2 linked regions of the Cricetulus griseus genome follow. The protein of the gene in region 2 interacts with the protein of the main gene of each other region in a biochemical or structural test. Links are inferred from orthologs where the notes say so. Each region holds a gene or a part of one and is shown on either strand. Other genes may lie near its edges.

Region 1 (3,653 bases), on a different chromosome or scaffold from region 2:
CAGGGCCATAAGGAGTTGTCAGGGCTACTGCTTAAAGGGCCAGGCACAAGTGAAAGCCAACTATGCATGCCAAATTTGCCTAAAGAAAACATTGGGAAAGAATGAGAAGCAGAGGTTTTCTGTTTCGGGTGTGGGTTTTTTTCTTTTTCTTTTTTCTTTTTTTTTTTTGTTCTGTTTTGGTTTAGGTAAGTTTTCGTGTGTGTGTGTGTGTGTGTGTGTGTGTGTGTGTGTGTGTGTGTGTTGGGTATTTTTTTTTTTGTGTGTGTGGTTTTGTTCTTGCTTTTGTTTGCTTGCTTTCTGACTTTGTTTTGCCTTCTTTTGTTGAGGGGGCTGCAACAGAGATGAGGGGGGAATATGAAGTATGAAGGGACTGGGAGGTGAACAGAATTGGGGCACATGATGTGAAACTCTCAAAGAGTCAATAAAGAAGAAAGAAAACCTCGAAACATAGCAAAACTAAACAAAGTAAAACAACAAACATTCGAACCTTTGATAACTGTGCTGTGCAAACTTGACCTAGAATCTGCTCTTTCACACCTTGCTTTTGGTAGTATGAACTGGCCACTGGCACAATTAGAAAATGGGAGAGTGCTACTCACCATGTGGGAGACATATTTATTTTCTGGAATCATTTGTTTGCAGTAATCACAACGGGTTTTCCTTTCAGGAGATACATTTCTCTTCCCTGAGTAGATGCAGATACGCCACAAATGACTGTTTTGACGGTGGCTACCCTCCTCCTCCCATGCTCTCATGGCCTGTACTCACGAGAATACCATTCCTAGACTAGCTTGGTCTTGTCCCCACACTGCCAGTAGCCACTCTGGAGAGGACTGGCTGGCCAGCCATTTTTCTCACAGTGACACTGATGAAGAGTCCCTTTCCTGGAGCAGAACTGGTTTTTAAGCAATTGAAAGGGGCTATGTACATAACTGCCCCAAAGGGACACTAGCCCATTCCAGCAAGTGGCTCTGGCAGGCCTTGCCCCTCCCATCCCCTTGCCTTACTAAAAACCATTAGATTACACTCTTAAAGCTAGCCACCAAGGGCTGTTCCCTCACTTGGCCACTTCCTCCTCCCGAGGCCGTACCATCAAAGTCTAGCTAACAAAGTATTGAAGTTCAGCCATCAAAAATCCCTTTGACTCACCCAATTAACAGGCCCAATTAAAATTAAACACCTCATGCTACCAGAGGCTTTCCCCTTTTACCTTTATAAAACACCATTTTCCTAGGGGCCTGTTTCCTCTCTACCCAGAGGCAGTCCTTTGTCCCTCTGGGACAAATACCCTTGCTCTCTTTCCCCTGTTCCCTTCCCCTTCTCCCTTGTCCTCTATCTCCTGTCATTTCCTCTTATTCCCTGACCTCTGTCCTTCCGAGGCAAACAAATCTCCTTTGTGCTGAGAACAAGGTCTCTGGGTCCTGAACCGATACATTTCCTTTCACACCCAGACTGCCAATTGAGCTCAGGTTTTGTGAGCTCTGTGATCCAACCAGGCGTTGGTTGTAACATCACTGTGCTAAAGTTGTGTTGTATTGAGCATGTCACTGAACTTGGGTTGGAGACTGTTAGTTGGGTGGGAGACCAGGCACAATGGGATGAAGGAAAAGTACACATACTTCCTGGCTTTCCATTGGCCACTTTTGATCTTGGGTAGAGCGTTGACCTGTGGGACTTACTAAGGGGTTCCACAGTTTCTCCACATGTTATCACATTGTCCAAACAACCAAGTCAACAAAAGATGTGAAACATGGGCAACTAACTATGTTCTTGGCAAAGGCTCCTATAAAGAGGCCAGTGGTAGAGCACTTGTCTAGCATGTATGAGGCTCTAGGTTCAAATCCCCAGCACTGGAACTGCAGAGAGAGGTGGGGGTAGAATATGAAGTGATACTAGAAGCTGATAAAAGACGCTACAGCCTGGAGCTATAGCAGCCTCCCGTCGGGCCATTGCTAATCCCTATGGTTTGGATGTGAACACCCTACCCTCTTAGTGAGCTCATGTGTTTGAACACTTGGTTCTTAGCTACTAATGCTGTTTTGGCACCTTTATGAGGTAGAGGCTCACTGGAAGAAGTGGGTGCTGGGTTCAGGCTTTGAGGTTTCTTAGCCTAGCTCCACATCTTGTGCTTTCTGTTTCCCACTCTGGGTTCAGACTGACCAGTGCAGTGCCTCGTGCTCCCGAGGTCATGCCTTCCCCAGCACAACAAGACTGTTATCTTTCAAACTGTAAGGCACAGCAAACCCTTTCTCCCTTACAATGCTTCTGCTTCTCACCATTGTTTATTTATCACAGAATGGGAAAAACAGGCCATACACTCCAGTGGAAAAGAAGGATCGAGGCTTAGCGCTAGAAGCTGGAGTGTCCCTCCATCTTATTGTTCTCTGAGGTTTGTGAGGCGTGCTTTTCATCTAGAGGATGATTCAGGTGTAGCCTTACCAGGCCAAGATTATGTCTTTGGCTTGTAAATAAAAGCCCTTCATATTTATGATTCCCATGGCTTTCTCTCCCTCTTCTCTGTGGCTCTTACACCCCATCCCTGGCCTCTTGTTTTTCCTGGGTAAGTCACTGAAAGGCAAAGCAGACACACAAGAAGGCTACTCCAGTGCCATACTCCAGTATGGAAATGTACAGAATGACACTCTTCTATCCTGTGCTGTTAAGGGTTCCTGTCCTTGCATCCTTCCTGCCCAGGAGACTGGCTCTGGAAACTGTCCTCCCCCTTTCCAGCTTCTCCCTGATGCTCACCTTCCTCATGCTTGGCCTTTGCCCTCAGACACACAATTTTATGCTGGGCCAACATTCGGAGTGTGATGGGCTGGTTGCAGTGTGGACAGCGCTCTGTCCGGAGGCCACAGTGGGGCTCATGGGCATCCAGTTTGCCGAAGTGCACAGCCAGATCACAGAACTTGCACCTGGCAGGGTGCTGTTGGATTTCCTTGGTCTGTGGAAAGATGGAGGACATGGGCCTAACTCCCTAGGAAACTGAAGCCAATCAGAGAGAGTGCTGGCAAGGGTCAGAAGCAGACATTGTCCTTGGGGATCATGAGTTCTTTTAGATTCACTGTTCTAGTTTGCTTTCTGTTGTGATAAATAAACATCACGACCAAAAAGCAACCTGGGGAGCAAAGGGTTCATTTCATTTTACATTTCCACATCATAGGCTCTCATTGAGGGGAGTCAGGACAGGAACTCGATCATGGCAGGAACCTGGAGGCAGGAATTAAAGCAGAGACCATGAAGGAGTGCTGCTTAGTGGCTTGCTTTCTTTACAACCCAGGACCACCTGCCAAGGAGTGGTACTGCCCACAGTGGCCTGGATCTCCCACATCAATCATTAATCAGGAAAACGCTTGTAGAGACACCCTCAGATCAGTATGATGGAATTCTTCAATTGAGATTGTCTTCTCAGGTGACCAGAGCCTACGTCAAGTGGACAAAAATGAACCAGCACACTCATGGATCATGGAGATCTCCATATCAAGCACGTATGTGGGGCAGAGGAATCTGCATGTCTGAGTGGGATGGTTCTCCACAGTTCTCCTAGCCACTCACGTGGAGGGGTAGTGGTCAGGGGGGAATCTTTATGACTGGCCTCTCCTCCCCTCTCTGCCTCTTTCTCTCAGGTTAGCTTGCTTGCCTCTAGAGGAGAA
Region 2 (3,130 bases):
AATGCAGTGTGGCACTTAATGTTGCAATGAGCCATTTTCAGCCACCTGGGGTAGTGTTTCTTCTCAAAGTAGGTAGGACAGGGTAGAGATGGATGTGCTGACCTCTGGGTCATTTTCAGGTCCCTATGGGACTAGGATGGGAACAAAGCCCACAGAGGATTCCAGGCAGCATCCAATGCACCTTCTGCACACTCCTTTAGATGGCTCATTACATACTATGACCCCAGTTCACAAGGGGTCAGGCACTGGCACAGTGCACACACATACACAAGGACCCAAGTCTGAGCCCTTGGAACCCCTTAACTGTCACACCTAAGTCACTGCAGTGGCAGGTCTAGAGCCTGGCCTGCTGTGAACTCCCCACTCAGAGAGGGGGGATATTTCTACTCTTTTTCAGAAAAGACAGGCCCAGCTGCTGAAGCCTCAGACTGACTAGAAGCCAGGCTGACTTGGGGACAGACAAGAATGTTCCCTTGAGTAACAACCTTCCGGAGGCTGACAGGCCCAGACCCGAGAAAAAGCTATTTAATGAAAACACACCACAGATTGCTGGTTGGATAAATTATGAAATTTATTTAAGTTCACCTTTTAAAAGCCAGAACATAACCACCAAACTTTCTGGAAAGCTGTTACATTAGAAATAGTGGATGTGATGCAGGATAAGAGGTTCCTGTTGTACAGCTGTGTCCTTCTCAGTCCCTCCCGATATCTCCTGAGCAAACCTTTCCAGAGGGTTCTGTGAAGTGGAAAGGGACCCTGCCCGACTCTGCTGCATCTGAGCTAGCTTTTCCCTAGCAGGCAGAAGCCACAGTAGAAGTACGGCGTCAAAAGCACAATATCGCATGCAGTCTCAGCTGGACCAGAGCCACACGACAGGAAGGACAACTTACTCCCAAAGCCCTAGGTCTGTCAGGGCGTCTGTTCTGCAGATTGGCTGGCTGCCTGGTGGTGCCCAACTGTACTTTGTAAAATGTACTGGACTAGCAGTTTTTAGAGCTGCTGCTCGAGAAAGCCTCCAGCAGAACACCTTTCTTAACTTTGGCAGGGGCCTAACTTTAACTTCCCAACAGGGGCTTTGAAGAGACAAGTGGGTATGACCCTGGCTTTGCACCAAAAGGCAGGGTTTTAAAACATACACTTGGGCACAGAGGTCTGTATGACAGCAATAATGCTCAGGTTGGTTATCGAGCAGCAGGTTCAACAGTCAGTGCCTCCATCACCCAAGGGCTCTTTCATTCTTCAGAGCAAGAGTATCAGCAGATACACAACAGAGGGGCACATGACCCAGCCACCTGGGAACACTCAGTGTGAAAGAGAACCAAAACCCACACACCACTTTCTCCCCACTTACAGACGAGTGTACCCCAGCTTTGCTATCCGACACTTCCATTCTATTTCTATGGTGATACCTTATCCTAAAAAGGCACTGTCAGGCATTTAAGACAGAAGCCATCAGTTCTATGGATGTGCAGGAGATGTAGGGAAACAGCAGAAACCAAAACAGGATCAGTTTTTGAAACCCCAAGGTCATCATCCAGGAAGAAAAGGGGAGCGCAGCCTGGCCTGGTATACAGCAGAACCCAGAACCCAGGTACCTCAGGGCCAGGGAAAGGAGTCCCTGTTTAATTGTGCTATTCATGGCCCCGGGGAAGGGGCTGGCTGAGTAGGAGGACCTAAGAGACGAACACTGGACAGTAGGATGAACATGAAACAAGAACACGTGGGAACAGAAGCTGGACTCTTCTTTTTAAAGGAGGCAGTAGCTAAGGTGTGACGAGAGCGGACCATGGGACAAACAAGGTTATCAGCCAGGAAGACAATGTCAACAAGAGCCCAAAGGAAACAGGGCTCTGCCCTAGGCCCTGGGAGAAGTGACCCTGTCTGGTGCCATGGCTCATTTACAGATCTGCATTACATGTGAGGTACAGGAGTCAAGGGCTCACACCTAATGCGTAATGGAAGCTCTAGAATGAGGTGGACAGTGAGGACCCTGCTCACTGGTCGATGATGGATCGTTGCAACACCTGGTTTATCATGTCATCTTCATCAACATCATAGTCCTGAGGGCAGAAGACACCAGCCTAAGTGACGGTTCACACCCAGAAGATTCACCTTCAGCAGGAGCCTAGCAAGACTGTCTGGAGAAGGCTGCTAAGGGCCCCAGGTCACTGTTTAGATGCTGTGTAACTGGGAAAATTACTTCAGCTTAGTGTCTCTGTTGTATCATCATTAAATAAAAATTAATAGCTTGGGGCTGGAGAGACAGCTTGGTGGTTAAGAGCACTGATTGCTTTTCCAGAGGACACAGGTTCAATTTCCATCACCCATGATGGATCACAACCACCATTAATTCCAGTCCCAGAGGATAGGACACTTTCTGGCTTCTGCAGGCAGTGCACAAATGTGGTATACACAGATACATTCAGGCAAACATGCATAAAATAAATATAAAAAATTAAAGTTATTCCTGGGGCTACAGAGATGACTCAATTGGTAAAATGCCTGCGAGGTCAAGCACAAGAACCCTAGTTCAGATTTCCATCACCCATGTTGAGGTGCGCACTTGTAATCCCAGTACTCTACAATGGAGACAGGAATCACCTAACAGTCTAGCCCAAGTGAGACCCACCCACCATGAACAGACACTGTGCAGCTTCCCTCTGGGACCAGAGTTCTTCAAGCCCAGGCTGCCCTCACCCCCAGAAAATTGAGCATCAGTGCTACCCCTCTGGGGCGGGTCCAGACTCACCACAAAAGTGTCATAGGAAAAGCGGTGGCGGCGTTGGATATGCTCCATGAAGTTGGCGCTGCGGTAGCTGGGGTCACCCCAGGGCATCGAGGCACATATGGGACAAACCTGTTAGGAGGAAGCAAGGTGCTGTGACCTGATGCCTCGGCTAAGCCAAGCCCTCTGTGACCTATGCTCAGCCCCTTTATGCTAGGACAGCTTTACTGACAAGCCCAGGTACAAGGCCTGGTCACTTGTCTCCATAAACATGAAGCAAACCAGAAAATGCTATTTAATTCAAATGACAGGCTCATAAAATGATGGATGACTTATTCCCAACAAAGTAAAATTCAGAGAACAAAGTAAAGGCCCAAATAACAGGGATATGGCCTAAAGTGTGCA

The links.
Region 1: the proteins of Rnf114 (region 2) and Xaf1 form a complex in vitro, tested with the Homo sapiens proteins (2 studies listed by BioGRID). The link is inferred for Cricetulus griseus from reciprocal best matches to the Homo sapiens genes RNF114 and XAF1.

Annotation. Positions count from the first base shown.
Region 1 is NC_048600.1:86,145,049-86,148,701, reverse strand, and holds part of Xaf1 (XIAP-associated factor 1), read right to left. Parts: intron 2,945-3,653; coding exon 2,749-2,944; intron 686-2,748; coding exon 600-685; intron 1-599. UniProt on the Homo sapiens protein: Seems to function as a negative regulator of members of the IAP (inhibitor of apoptosis protein) family. Inhibits anti-caspase activity of BIRC4. Induces cleavage and inactivation of BIRC4 independent of caspase activation.
Region 2 is NC_048599.1:11,896,731-11,899,860, forward strand, and holds the end of Rnf114 (E3 ubiquitin-protein ligase RNF114), read right to left. Parts: intron 2,858-3,130; coding exon 2,750-2,857; intron 2,061-2,749; coding exon 1,995-2,060; 3' UTR 547-1,994; downstream 1-546. UniProt on the Homo sapiens protein: E3 ubiquitin-protein ligase that promotes the ubiquitination of various substrates. In turn, participates in the regulation of many biological processes including cell cycle, apoptosis, osteoclastogenesis as well as innate or adaptive immunity.